Linked DNA regions of Elephas maximus indicus. The protein of the gene in region 2 binds, or shares a complex with, the protein of the main gene of each other region. Links are inferred from orthologs where the notes say so. Each region holds a gene or a part of one and is shown on either strand. Other genes may lie near its edges.

Region 1 (7,717 bases), on a different chromosome or scaffold from region 2:
GGACAGAGCACTGAGCCACAGTCGGGGCCCTCAGGACAGAGCGCTGAGCCACAGTCGGGCCGTCAGGACAGAGCGCTGAGCCACGGTCGGGGCCCTCAGGACAGAGCGCTGAGCCACGGTCGGGGCCCTCAGGACACAGCGCTGAGCCACGGTCGGGGCCCTCAGGACACAGCGCTGAGCCACAGTCGGGCCGTCAGGACAGAGCGCTGAGCCACGGTCGGGGCCCTCAGGACAGAGCGCTGAGCCACGGTCGGGGCCCTCAGGACACAGCGCTGAGCCACGGTCGGGGCCCTCAGGACACAGCGCTGAGCCACGGTCGGGGCCGTCAGGACAGAGCGCTGAGCCACGGTCGGGGCCCTCAGGACAGAGCACTGAGCCACGGTCGGGGCCCTCAGGACAGAGCACTGAGCCACGGTTGGGGCCCTCAGGACAGAGTGCTGAGCCATGGTCGGGCCGTCAGGACAGAGCGCTGAGCCACGGTTTGGGCCCTCAGGACACAGCGCTGAGCCACGGTTGGGGGACCTCAGGACACAGCACTGAGCCACAGTCGGGGCCGTCAGGACAGAGCACTGAGCCACGGTCGGGGCCCTCAGGACAGAGCACTGAGCCACAGTCGGGGCCCTCAGGACAGAGCGCTGAGCCACGGTCGGGCCATCAGGACAGAGCGCTGAGCCACTGTCAGGGCCCTCAGGACACAGCGCTGAGCCATGGTCGGGGCCGTCAGGACACAAAGCTGAGCCACAGTCGGGGCCCTCAGGACAGAGCACTGAGCCACGGTCGGGGCCCTCAGGACACAGCGCTAAGCCATGGTTGGGGGACCTCAGGACACAGCACTGAGCCACAGTCGGGGCCCTCAGGACAGAGCACTGAGCCACAGTCAGGGCCGTCAGGACAGAGCGCTGAGCTACGGTCGGGGCCCTCAGGCGCACCCGCCTCTCTCACCCCCCAAAGCCAAATGAGTCAGTGGGAAGAGCAAGATTTCCTGGCCATGTGATGGGTGGCCTCCCCATAAGGAGGAAGGAAGGTCCTTGTCACCCCACAATCTCGTCTGAGGCCAGGGCACTTGGGTACACCCTAAGGCCCTTCCGCCTCTGGCGCTGGGTGAGGGGAGGGAGCCTGAGGGTGGACCTGGTCTCAGCTGTTGAATCCCAGCATGGCTGGCCTTCAGCAGTTGGGAAAAGATGGACACTCATCAGGATAGTCTGTCCTGAGGCCCAGCAAGGAGAGGAGCCATGTGAAGGGCAGCCAGGCCAGGTCAGAGCTGGCCACTGCGGTACTACTGCGGCTGCCTCATGTGCTTCCTCAGCCCCCACAGAAGGGGGGTGGGAAGCTGGTGGCCTGTGGGAACCAGGCCCTGGGTGCCCGCAGCAAACGTGGAGCAGCCCAGCCCGGAACCTGCTGACTGGACCGTACCACAGACACACACAGGCCCGACCTGTCCCCTCGACCAACCCACAGGGGCCAAGCAGCTGGGCCTAGGATGGGCTGGGAGCTAACGAAAGCAGGCCAGAACACATGGGACCCCTCAATCCCTGGCCTTTGTGACCCCCAGCCAGCCCCCTTTCCCAAGACTCTGAGAGAGGAGGGCCACAGCTGTGCTGCAGAGCCAGGACTGATCCAGGGCTGATCCAGACCCCACGCTCCTTGCCCATTTTTCATATTAAAATTTTTAAAAACCCTAAAATATTTTTCAAAAGAGAGGCTAATTTAGGGAACACTCATATGCCCGCCCCCGGACTGAGTCCCTCTCTTACAAGGGGTTCTCAGAGTAGGTGGGCGGGTGGAACAGGGGGGAGAGGCGGTGGGCTCCCCAGGAGAGGCAGGGCCCAGCCCCAGGTGGGCCCCAAGGGGCCAGGGCGGGGCGGGGCAGGGAGGGGGCCACCGCAGCTCTGGGGCTCTGCGGCCAAAATAGCACAAAGGGAAGTGGGCAGTTTTCATATGAACAAGGCCTGCAGCTAGCAGCGGCGGGAACGGTCAGGGGCTTGGCTGGGGCTCGCTGCCAGCATCCGAGCCTCCCACCCGGAAGGGCTCCTGGGGACCATCCTGTTCAATATCCCAGTCCTCTCTACGCTGTAGATGGGGAAACTGAAGCCCAGTGAGGACAAGGGACTTGCAGAGCCAGCAGGGGTTGGAGTGAGAGGTGGCAACTGGCCTGATCTCCTCAGAAAGCTTTAGCTACCAGGCTCTGCTCTGGGCCTGTTCCGTTTTTTTCCAAATAACTCTGGGCTTCAAATGAGGCTGGCTGAGAGGCCCTATTAGTGGGGCTCAGAACCCCCAGGTGGCAAGGAGAAGGCAGGAGGGTGGGTGGTAGAGAGGTCTGGGCAGCCCTTGTCCCTGGGGGCGGTGGGGGCAATGGTGAAAGCCGGGTGGCTGGGAGCCTGACCCACCCTCCAACAGAGCCAGACACAGGGAGCCTCCCAGCCTTACAGCGGGCATCCCCATGGTGCCCCAACAGAGAGCTGGCAGGCGGGATAGGGGCTAGGTGTGTGTGTGTCGGGGCAGTGGGGTGGCAGGGCCAGGACCAGGCATGACTGCCTGGAGACTCTCACCGATCCTCCCGCAGCCCTGGGGCAGAGATGTTAGTATCCATTTTACAGATGAAAAAACTGAGGCTCATGGGCCTGGGCCTGGGCCTGCTTGGAGCCACCGTTCTGGTTTTTTAGCTGCCCCTCAGAGGTCTGGCAGTGATGGGAACCAACCTGGGGGCTTCCCTGGGCTGTGTCAGGGCAGGAAGGGGGCTGGAGCCTCAGAAAAGGTTGCCCCTCTGAGCGCCACAGGGTCTGGGGTGAGGGCCTCATAGCCAGGGGCATCCTGGCATCATTCCACCCCACCCAACAGGACCACCAAGTACTCCTGCTAGGCCAGCAGGGCCACCCCCTCCCCCGTGGGATGAGCGGGGAACAGCTCCAGACACTCCTGGGAAAAGCTTACCTGAGAGTCAGGGCTTCTCACTGCGGCCACCCCATCCTGAGCCCAGACACCTGCCTGAGCTGACGCCAATGCCAGAGACACTGACGGGCAGCAGGGGGGGTGACGGGCTTCCTGTCAGCCACTGAATCATCCCTCACACATCCGCTGCTCTGCCGGACAGGCTCTGCTATTAACAGAGAGAGGAACAGAGAGAGAGAGAGAGAGAGACACAGAGAGAGGGACAGAAAGAGACAGAGAGGGCGCAGAGAAAGAGAGAGAGAGGGACAGAGAGAGGAGGGGGAGACAGGCAGAGAGAGAGAGGGACAGAGAGACAGAGACAGAAAGAGAGGGACAGAGAGAGAGGCAGAGAGTGGGACAGCAAAAGAGAGAGAGAGGCGGAGGGAGAGAGAGAGACAGAGACAGAGAGAGGGAGACAGAAAAACACACAAACACAGCAGAGAAAGAGAGAAAGACATGGAGAGGCACACACACTAAAAAACACATAAACACAGAGACACCCACAGAGGAAGAGAACCAGAGAGAGACACACACAGAGATACAGGCAGGGAGAGACACACACACAGACAGACACATGCATGGACATACACAGAGACAGGCAGAGAGACAGAGCCCAGCTGAGATTGACCAAGAGACACAGAGAAAGGCAGAGACAGAGATCAGAGACTGTCAGAAACACACACAGAGACAGAGAGACTCAGAGGGCAACAGCCCCAGAGAACCAGACTTGGACATACGGTCCTGACACTTGGCAACAAAATGACTGGAAAATTGGCAACCAAGAAGTTTGGGGAAAAGACATTTGGCAACACATTACAAACCCTACAATTAAAATTTATATCGTAGAAACACAGTACAACACTGCGGTAGCTAAGTTCAGTGCACCCACCAAAATGACACTAAGTATTGGGCCACATGGACAATTAAACAGCAAAAAAAAGCACATCTAAAACCATCAAACCGTAACGATAACCAAAAACTGGGCACTCAAATGAAATCTACCTACGCCACAACACACTTTCCAACACATAGTTACGCTGAATACCTCGTAGGACCTTGCAGCACGGAGACGCCCTAAGGAACATACTGACAAGATAAAGCCTGACAAGCCTTCAAATTATTCTAATAGATTCTGTTGGTCCTTTGCATACCTCTGAAGCCCAAGCAGCGTTTGGTCCCACGTAAGGTCTCTGTTCAGACCTTCCACAATGTACACCTGGCTTCCCTGCAGGAATCATTTACACGGCTGAACGAGCCACACACAGACGTGGCCAATGGGCTCATGGAATCCCACTGCCAGTGGAACCCCTCAGCGAGGCAGCCTGTAACCTGTTTAGACAGCTATTTGCTGTCAGGGCTGCACATACCCAGACAAAATAAGAATTCGCCCTTTAGGTCAACCCTACAACAATAAACTGAAAACATGTACGACAGTACTTTTTCTTTCTCTGTTATTCCTTCTTGGCAAACAGATGAGCACCTACTAGCTCTGAGCATTCTGTCTTGATGCTATGCCTATTAGGAGTTCCTTAAACTAAGAAAATCCTACAGTTTTTAGGTAGTCTCATAGAAGGCCTGACAAGGACCTCGTTAACACCATTAGAAATTAATGACCTGACTGTAAAAGCGGTGCGTTTTAGGAGCTGTGACAGAACTTTAACTCTTCTGCTCTGGAAGCTCTGACACATGGAGGCTCCTCAGTCAGTGACGGCGTCAGTGAGCACAGTCTCTAACAGGCCATGCCATGGACATCCTAAGAAAGGCTGTTAAACAGGAACAAACTAAAAGCCGAATGATTAAGTTATAAATTGAGACCCGAGGTAACCTCTTACAGACTGCATTAAAGGAAATGTGGAACACTTTAAACATCTACCATTTGTAACACTGAAGGTAGTAACCGGAGCTCTGCTGTAACAGACCATCCCATCAAGCCTAAAATTAACGTAAGACTTGACAATGGACGTGACACACTGGGGCATCAGCTTTGAAAGCCGATACTGTGAAATCAGACTCTCATACCATGATGACACACTAATTGCAAAAGTGAGAATGGATGCTTAGAGCTAAACAAATGCCCCTGTACACAGAAGGCATACACGTTCCAACCATTAGTTATTAGAATGGAAGGCTGACAACTGGAAAACCCCTGACAACACCGAAGTTCTAGATGTCCAAATTCCATGGGCTGAACTGTATCCTCCCAAAATACGTGTCAACGTTGTTAGGCCACAATTCCTAGTATTGTGTGGTTGTCCTCCATTTGGTGGTTGATATAATTTTCCTATGCGTTATAAGGAAACCCTGGTGATGTAGTGGTTAAGTGCTACAGCTGCTAACCAAAAGGTCAGCAGTTCGAATCCACCAGGCACTCTTTGGAAACCCTATGGGGCAGTTCTACTCTGTCCTATAGGGTCGCTATGAGTCAGAATTGACTCGAAGGCAATGGGTTTTTTTTGTTGTTGTTGTTTTTGTTATGTGTTGTAAATCCAAATCTCTGCCTGTGGTTATTGAGGCAAGATAAGATTATGTTAAAGATTACTAGGGTGGGATGTAACACCCTTGCTCAGGTCACATCCCTGATCCAACGTAAAGGCAGTTTTTCTAGGATGTGGCCTGCACCACTTTTTATCTTACGAGAGACAAAAGGAAATGGAAGCAAGCAGAGAGTGGGGGCCTCATACCACCAAGAAAGCAGTGCTGGGAGCAGAGCTGAAGTTCCTGCATGAAGAGGCTCCTATTCCAGGAGGAGATTAATAAGAAGGACCTTCCTCCAGAGTTGACAGAGAAAGAAAGCCTTCCCCTGGAGCTGACACCCTGAATTTGGACTTCTATCCTACTAGACTGTGAGAAAATTAATTTCTTTGTTAAAGCCACCCACTTGTGGTATTTCTATTAGAGCAGCACTAGATGACTAAGACAACCACAGTCTTAATTTTTTAACAACCAGTTGTCCATAATTTGACAAACTGGACCTTTGTAGCATGCTCCAAAATTTTGATAAATCCAACTTATTGAACAGATGGCAACAATGCAAATTTCCCCTTCAAGGTTGCACTAACATAATATTTTGAATACTATTGTTGTTAGGTGCTGTTGTTAGTTCTGACTCATAGTGACCCTATGCACAATAGAACAAAACACCTCCCCGTCCTGAGTTATTCTCACAATCGTTGTTATGCTTGAGCCCACTGTTGTAGCCACTGTGTCAGTCCATCTTGTTGAGGGTTTTCCTCTTTTTCACTGACCCTCCACTTTACCAAGCATGATGTCCTTCTCCAGGGACTGGTCCCTCCTGATAACACGTCCAAAATATGTGAGACAGTCTCACCATCCTTGTTTCTAAGAAGCATTCTGGCTGTACTTCTTCCAACACAGATCTGTTCGTTCTTCTGGCAGTCCATTCAATATCCTTCGCCAATAACATAATCCAAAAGCATCAATTCTTCTTTGGTCGTCCTTATTCATTGTCCAGCTTTCGCATGCATATGAGGTGATCGAAAACACCATGGCTTGAGTCAGGCACCCTCAGTCCTTGAAGTGACATCCTTGCTTTTCAACACTTTAAAGAGGTCTTTTGCAGCAGATTTGCTCAAGGCAATACATCGTCTGATTTCTTGACTGCTGCTTCCATGGGTGTTGACTGTTGATACAAGTAAAATGAAATCCTTGACCTCTTCAGTCTTTTCTCCATTCATCATGATGTTGCTTATTGGTCCAGTTGTGAGGATTTTTGTTTTATGTTGAGGTGCAATCCATACTGAAGGCTGTGGTCTTTGATCTTCATCAGTAAGTGCTTCAAGTCCTCTTCACTTTCTGCAAGCAAGGTTGTGTCATCTGCATATCACAGGTTGTTAATGAGTCTTCCTCCAAACCTGATGCGGAGTTCTTCTTCATATAGTCTAGCTTCTTGGTATTATTTGCTTACCATACAGATTGAATAAGTATAGTGAAAGGATACAACCCTGATGCACACCTTTCCTGACTTTAAACCACACAGAATCTCATTGTTCTGCTTGAATGACTGCCTCTTGATCTATGTACAGTTTCCTCATGAGCACAACTAAGTGTTCTGGAATTCCCCAGGATTTGTTACAATCCACACAGTTGAACGCCTTTGCATAGTCAATAAAACACAGGTAAACATCTTTCTGGTATTCTCTGCTTTCAGCCAGGATCCATCTGATATCAGCAATGAGATCCTTGGTTCCATGCCCTCTTCTGAATCCGGCCTGAATTTCTGGCGGTTCTCTGTCAGCTGCAACTGCTTTTGAATGATCTTCACCAAAATTTTACTTGCATGTGATATTAATGATACTGTTTGATAATTTCCACATTCTGTTGGATCACCTTTCTTTGGAATGGGCACAAATATGGATCTCTTCCAGTCGGTTGACCAGGAGACTTCCAAATTTCTTGACAAAGACGAGTGAGCATCTCCAGCGCTGCATCTGTTTGCTGAAACATGGCAACAGGTATTCCGTCAGTTCTTGGAGCCTTGTTTTTCACCAATGCCTTCAGTGCAGCTTGGACTTCTTCTTTTAGCACCATGGGGTCTTGATCGTATGCTACCTCCTGACACGGCTGAACGTCGGCCAAATCTTTTGGTACGGGGACTTTGTATTCCTTTCATCTTCTTTTGATACTTCCTGCATTATTCCATATCTTCCCTATAGAATCCTGCAATATTGCAACTTGAGGCTTGATTTTTTTCTTCAGTTCTTTAAGCTTAAGAAATGCCAAGTGTGTTCTTCCCTTTTGGTTTTCCAACTCCAGGTCCTCACATGTTTCA
Region 2 (7,775 bases):
AGCATTTAAGAGCTTCTCTGTGAGTCGGAATTGACTTGACGGCAATGGGTTTGGGTTTTAGTTTATCAAATAAATTTTCCTGGTCAATCCAAAATTCTACTGCTGTGGTTTAAGTCACTCTTCTCACATTATCTCTTCAATGAAGATGATATACTTTGCGTGGGTTCTTGACCTAGGATCCAGAGATGTTCTGGAATTGCATGCTAAATGGTCTATGTAGGTACATTTTCCTGAAGCACAGCTCTTTAGATTCTTAGCCGTACTCTTGTCACAAAAACACCTCTCAATGTGTAATTGTCCTTTTGTAGACCAGGTTACTCATCAGTTATATTTTCTCTAATTAAATGTCTACCAGACACCCCACTTAACATTCTGCAGAGCTTCTCATCTTCTTGCAGCCCATTAGCTTCAAAGACGACGTTACCATATACCCTGGGTTCACTTTTCTTTCAAAGGTTCCCTGGCACTTGGCACTGCTTCCTTGGAAATCCCACTTATTTTTCTAAACTTTTCCTCATATCTTCTATTTTCTAATTGGCTAATTATCACTGTGGCTCTCCTCTGAGCCATTATACTTGTGGACCCAAAACTGATTATGTTAATAAGTATATGATAAACAATGAAATGGGAAGAGGACGAACCTAACCTTTAGTGTGAGCCAGGTGTTTTACATGTTATCACTTTTAACCCTTGAAACCACCTATAAGTAGACATTATTTTTGTCTTCTTGATTTCTTCTCCCTACCCATTCAAGAAAAGATCCTTTGCTATGAATTCAAATGTTAATTTCATCAGAAATATTTACATCTATTTTTTTTTTATAGTTTATTCTTTGCATTTCAAAGCATGGTTTCTACGGAAAGCTAAAGCATATCAATTGTTCCATCACCCCTACTAAACTGTAAGACTCCTAAAGGTAAGGTCTTTAGGTCTTATTCATGTTTGTATCTCTAGAACGAGTGTCATGCTTGAGTGCAGAGGAGACACTCAATAAACATTGTTTGAATAAATAAATTGGTTGCACACCCACTGCATCCCAGGCATTGTACTTTGGGAGACGAGTAGTATTCGCCCCCATTTTATAACTGAGGAAATTCAGTCTCAGGGAGATTGTAACTTGCACAAGATCACAAACTAAAGTGGCAAACCAGTAGGAAGGGAATGTTTTATTGACATTCTAAAATTCTTGTTCTTCCTGCTACCCATGCCAATGACATGCATTCTTTAAACATTAGAAGGAAACTGGTGTCTGAAACAGTTATTTTAAATACTTTGGAAAACATCCAAAGAATAATCAAATGAAAATTTTTCTCTTTCCTGGCATGGTGTGCCAGTGTGGCTAATTTGTGATGACGAGATTGAATTTACTTTAAAAGCATATAAGAATAAGTTGAGTGGTCAACCAAAAATATTTCAATTTTATTATTAATTGTTGTTCAGTTGGCTCTGACTCATGGTGAACTTAAGCGGAATAAAACATTGCCTAGTCCTGCACCATCTTCACAATCATTGATATGTTTAGCCCATTGTTCCAGCCACTGTGCCAACCCATTTCATGGAGAGTTTCGCTTGTTTTCTACTTTACCAAACATAGTATCCTTTTCTAGGGAATGTTCTTCCCTAATTATGTGTCCAAAGTAGTAACTGACAAAAATTACTAGTACATGTTTAACACCCAAAACTGAATAAAAATTACCATGCCTTTACTCTCAAATAGTAAATTATCTAATGTAGATATAAGAAGTATGAATGTGCTATTACAGATATTTCTACACACACAATTTTTCTATATACTTAATAAATCCTCAGAAAATATATTTTATTAGTGTTGTTGTTAAGCACTTTATGTAGCATTTCTGAAAACACTTAAAATTTCTAGTTCCATTAATATTAAAATGTCATAAAATTTAACCTAAAAAAAATCATTTATTTTTTCTTTAATAACAATAACGTGTATTTCTTTCACTAATTGCAAAATTAGCCACAATTGCTATTTTTAAAGAACTGATTTTATTTAACTATAGGTTTTCATTGTTGACAGTTTTAAAATATGGCACGCTTAGTGAATTTTCTTAGAGCGAATAGATTAATATGGCTTACTGTGTACATACTAACCAAGACAAACCAAAAAACCCATTGCCATGAGTCGATTCCAACTCACCGCTAACCAAGATAGCACCCTAAATATTATCTTGCAAATTAACTATCCTGAACAGCGTTTCATAACAATAGCTGCCATTGAGTTGCTCCCCAACTTTTGGTAATCCTGTGCACAACAGAACAAAACACTGCCAGTCCACTGCCATCCCTATCATAGTGTTAAGAAGTATCAATTTTATCATTTTTATAATTTTTTATAAAATTTGACACTTTGTATTTAATTATTATTGATAAACTTTTATAAATACATATTATTATTTATAAACAACTGAGAATATGAGCAGAAAGCTTAATTTCAATCATAATATTATCTTAATAGTACACATGGTCATGGAAACACAGTAGTAAATTGCAGAGACAATTTAAGAAACATATTATCTCTTAAGCCAAAATCTTCTGTGATTTCTAAATGAATTCTTTGGAAATTTAGATTATTGAATTATTTTATATTAGTAACTTAATGGTATATGTTACTAATATAAAAATTTATGTTATACATATACATATTACTAATATTATATTAGTAACTTAATGATATGTTACTAATATAAAAAATCTTGTTATATATATACATATATATATATATGCCATATACTATATATTTGAAGTATGCAAAATTGGAAAAATATTTCCTGACCTCAAGGAAGAGAAGAAAGTTTTAACCCGACAGAAACACAGGGACCCTTATCCCATTGCATCACCATGAAATACATTTTGTATTAAGACAGAAGCTTCTGGTTTAACATTATTATCTATATCCTTACCTGGTATTCTAGCCTCTTGACTAATAAAAAACCTTCAAAGTACAGGGGAAGAGCAGTAATCTTCAACCTTTCCTGGAAGATCCTGCGAGGGGCTGGTTTAGGGGGCTTCTTAGCCATCATACCCTCTCTTCGGTACGTGGCTTGGTTTCAACAGTATTCAGTCTCAAACTAAATAAGTTCTCCCTCGTCTAAGGGGAAAAGACAACTGTTCAAAGAGGAAGTCCCAGCTTGCTTTTTAACCACTAACACCACCAACTGGACACAAACACACACACTTTCTTTCCCTTATTTTTGAGATGAGAAAGAACAGGCATAGACCAGCTTTTAGAGGGCTATGTCTGAGTGAAATACCTGTACTTGGATTTATGGTAGCAAAATAAACAGAAGATTAACATCACCCCAAGATGAAAGGAACAGACAGCTGTAAAGCATGTAGATGTTAGGGGAGACAAGAAGGTTGTGTTGTATTTTTTTCCACCTGTTTTTTGTTTGTTTCTTGCTATCCACTTTTATTCCCACTTCATTAAAAATTACTTCACCGGATAATCTTATTAGCACTATTTCTGTTGGTTAAATATATCAGGACCAAGCTTTGCTTAAATAAACCAGTCAATTAGTAAAAGGTTCAGCTTATCCCATGCCATTTTGATGGTCCACTAAATGTAAAACACAGTTATGAGAGCTTTAGGATTTTTCAATTTTTGTCAGTAGGCATTTAGAGTATACGGGTTAACAGTGGATATTTGGCAATGGTCCAAAAGAGAAAGCAATGTTGTCGTTAAAAAAAAAAAAACAAAACCCATGGTAACTCTAATGTTGTTAGGTGCCTTCAAGTCCGTTACAACTCATAGCAACCCTATGCGCAATAGAACAAAACACTGCTCCGTCCTGTGGCATGCTAACAATCATTGCTATGCTTGAGCCCATTGTTGCAGCCACTGTGTCAGTCCATCTCATTGAGGACCTTCCTCTTTTTTGATGACCTTCTACTTTACTAAGCATGATGTCCCTCTCCAGGGACTGGCCCTTCCCAATAGCATGTCCAAAGTACGTGAGATGAAGTCTTGCTATCCTTGCTATAAGGAGCATTCTGGCTGTACTTCTTCCAAGACAGATTTGTTCATTCTTCTGGCAGTCCATGGCATATTCAATATTCTTCACCAGCAACATAATTCAAAGGCGTCACTTCTTCTTCCATCTTCCTTACTCATTGTCTAGCTTTCACATGCATATGAAGCGATTGAAAACGCCATGGCTTGGGTCCGGTGCAACTTAAAGTGACATCTTGAGTTTTTAGCCCCTTAAAGAAGTTTTTTTGCGGCAGATTTGCCCAATGCAATGCATCATTTGATTTCCTGACTGCTGCTTCATAGGCATTAAATGTTCTTTAACCCTTTCTGAGCTGCAGAGCTCTGATATTATGTTGCACGGGTGGGGTCCTCACAGTGATATAGTGAGATGTATGGATCCAAAATGCACTCAATAATTGCATATAAGAAATAGTCCTTCAGAGGCTGGATTTGGTCCTAGCACAGAGCAGGGACTGATGGGAGAAGAGAACAAAGGAAAGAATTCTATTTTGTCTCACAGGGGTGAGAAGTTCCACCACTACTTTATGGTTAACCACTCAGCTGCTAACTGAAAGGTTGGCGATTTGAACCCACCAGTCGCTCTGCAGAAGAAATGTGACAGTCTGCTTCTGTAAAGATATACAGCCCTAGAAACCCTATGGGCCAGTTCTACTCTGTTCTAGAGGGTCACAAGGAATCGGAATCAACTTGAAGACAATGGGTTGTGTTTTAGGTTTTAGTTCAGAACTACTCTGACCTTAGAGTAGTAGTAGGCCTGCACGTTCTCCCCAGTTAAACCAGCCTATTCTCAGAAATCAAAGCAAGCCAGAAATCTCCAGTCTGATCTTCCTTTCCTAATGGAAAGAGACCACATAGTTTGCCCAACCAGTATGGATCCCACTGAGATTGCCGCTGTAGATGTGGGAACCAAATTGTCGACAAAGTGAAGGTAGATCAATACACACTGAATATCAGTAAAACTAGAGAAGAATGTTCAGGTGCATTATCAATGTAAAAATCCGTCCATTGCCGTCAAGTCAATTCCGATTCATAGAGACCCTATAGGACGGAGGATCTGTCCCATAGGGTTTCTAAGGGGGCTGCTGGTAGATTCAAACTGCCCACCTTTTGGTTAGCAGCCAAGTTCTTTACTACTGTGCCCCAGTGCTCCATTAATGTAAAGACAGTTTGAAATAGGAATAGGGGGTTGAAGTTGAGGCTCGGTAGTTCAGGAAACTAGACAGGAGAACAACAAAGAAATAAACTAGAAGAGGCCAAGAACAATTGCCATTGCCTTCACCTAAATATGTTGGAAGAGTCTAGGGCTGAGATTAGCATGCATTTTCAAATTAAGCAAACTGTCTAGGGAGAAATACAGTTTCTAGTGTATACTGGTTTACAGATCAATTTAGAAGAAAAATCTACACTAGAAATCAAGTAAGACTTAGATTTAAAGTTACTACCTTGCCTTTACATTAAGCTTAGACATGCTTCCTGCTACCCAAACCTTCAAATGATAAAGTGTTAGTCCAACCAAAGTATTTGAGACAAAATCATACCTATTTTTAGTCTTAGTGTACAAAGGAAGTGAGCTGAATGAAAAAAAAAGAACTCCTGATTTGGTAAATAACCTAATCCACTTTCTTAGCAGCTGGTAGCTGATATAATACAGGGAGGAAGTGAAAGAGGGGATGCAAAGTGAGAAAGGACAAGAGAAAGGGAGGTGGGAAATAGGATGCTATGAATAATCAATGGTTGTAATATGAGACAAGTAGTCACTGGCTTTATAGCCAGATAGCTTCATGAGAGACAAGACTGCCTCTAGAAAAATGTAAAGAAATAAATATTTCTGTGAAATAACAATCTGGTTTATTATGTCTTTCTTGATTTTTTTTTTAAATAAGCAAATTAAAGGAAAATCAGTTTATCAGCCCCTGTAATTTGCTTTGGCTTGCTCATTTACAAGTCATAATAATCCTTAATGTACCAAAGATTAAATTACGTTTCCCTAAAAAAAAACCTGCAAAATGCAAAATTCCTGCGGAAACGTTATTAGCTAATTATATCTGTCTGCAATTACCAATGCCATTGTAGTATTGTACCATCATAATAGAAATACTTTTATAGATACCTGAAGTCTTAAAAAACAAAAACAAAAATCAAAAACTAAAACCCCATTGCTGTTTGAGTCGATAAAACTACCCCACAGGGTTTCCAAGTTACACCTGGTGGATTCAAACTGCCAACCTTTTGGTTAGTAGCCAAATGCTTAACCACTGTGCCACGAAGTCTTAGGTGGTCCTAATGAATTTGTAAGTAAAGAAATATAGTAGAAAAGATGTATGGGCATGAAGAGAGAGGCCAGTTTTGCTATTAACCAGCTCTGAGACCCAAAAAGAAAAACTAAAAAAACAAAACAACCACCACTTTAGGATCACAGCTTCCTTATCTAAGAAATGAGGGGATGGACTAAATGACTTTTTGCCTGAAGAGCTGCCATAACCTTCTAAGTTTCTCCTAGTTTCTACTCTTTTCCTTCTCTAATTCATTTAATGCAATCTGGCTAAGCCACTTTCCTGCTTTTCAGTACTCCTTTGCGTCATCTATGTTATAATGTTATTCATGTCAATGGATGCACCTTTTTACAATAGTTAAGACCCTATTAAATTACTTTACTATCCGCTTATTGGAGTTGATTCAATCAACAGGCCTGAATGAGATTCTCCAAATATCCTCCCTTCCTAAATTTCCAACCTCTGTTTAACTTAATGTTTATTGAAAATTTATTGTCACATGCATTTTAATTCATGGCAGCAAATTTCAAAGATGCTTGTAATGAATATATTTATGTTTACAGTCCATAACTGAAGGATGCACCTTTAATTTTAACCATTATGTTGAATACTTATAGCTCACCAATAAATCAGATACAGTCTTTATTATGAGTCCATCTCTTTATTGCTGTTAGTGACAGAATAAAGCAACGTTTTCCATGGGGTAATACCACAAGCCCAGAGATTCTTTGACACCCAATATGGGGTTTCCTATCCCCTTCAGCTCACAATCATTATCATTTTCGTGATCAATTATTACCCAGAAAATGTTGCCCTTAGGTCTTTTGGGACAGAAAAAAATGATGGAGAATCACTGTTACAGAAGTGATAGTAGTAGTCTTGTCAGAGTGCCTTAATTTGCTAATTTCCTTCTAATTTTCAGCGCAAAGAGTTGGTTCTAGAATAGTAAGAGTTTTTCCTATTTATATGTTCACAATATTTTTGTAGTGTAGGGTATCATTTATGTTAATGAGAGATGTTTCTTAAATGCCTATTAGATGCAGGACACTGGTTTTAAACCTTGATACATCACAAAATAATGGTAGCATTAATAGAAACTATAAACTCAGAATAAGGGTATAGTGGGGGGGGTGTAGAGAGGTAATAGATTCAATATTAATCACTTCAAACTCAATGTATATGGGGTTAAGTCTACATTCTTCCCGTACTTTTCATTTAAGGTCCTTCAGTGCTACTTTAGGGGATAAGGTGGATTGTTGCTTAACATGCATTCCAACCCCTTCTAATGTGCCATCCTTCACTGCAAAGACTGAAAAGCTAAAAACTACATTTTTCAGACTTCTTTGCAGGTAGAGTCGAGACACATTCAACATGATGGGAAAGGCAGAAAAGAGGCAGAATTCGCTCTTTTTATGTTTGCTTTTCTACAGGTAAGCAGGTCTATAGGCATTAAATTTTTCTGTAACAGTGTTATCAGAAGTACTGGT

What was found.
Region 1: the proteins of STAP1 (region 2) and LAT2 are in contact, whole or in part, in a crystal structure (PDB 3MAZ), measured with the Homo sapiens proteins. The link is inferred for Elephas maximus indicus from reciprocal best matches to the Homo sapiens genes STAP1 and LAT2. Residues at the interface, in NP_001304698.1 of Homo sapiens: Arg184, Arg203, Pro204, Gly205, Ser206, Ser212, Ile215, Gln217, Ile219, Lys225, His226, Tyr227, Lys228, Glu239, Leu240, Glu241, Tyr255, Phe256, Glu259, Thr260, Arg261, Asn263, Leu264; in NP_054865.2 of Homo sapiens: Asn134, Ser135, Tyr136, Glu137, Asn138, Val139, Leu140, Ile141, Lys143.

Annotation. Positions count from the first base shown.
Region 1 is NC_064830.1:109,527,400-109,535,116, forward strand, and holds the start of LAT2 (linker for activation of T-cells family member 2), read right to left. Parts: upstream 3,083-7,717; 5' UTR 2,932-3,082; intron 1-2,931. UniProt on the Homo sapiens protein: Involved in FCER1 (high affinity immunoglobulin epsilon receptor)-mediated signaling in mast cells.
Region 2 is NC_064823.1:91,985,699-91,993,473, forward strand, and holds the start of STAP1 (signal-transducing adaptor protein 1), read right to left. Parts: upstream 3,093-7,775; 5' UTR 3,045-3,092; coding exon 2,925-3,044; intron 1-2,924. UniProt on the Homo sapiens protein: In BCR signaling, appears to function as a docking protein acting downstream of TEC and participates in a positive feedback loop by increasing the activity of TEC.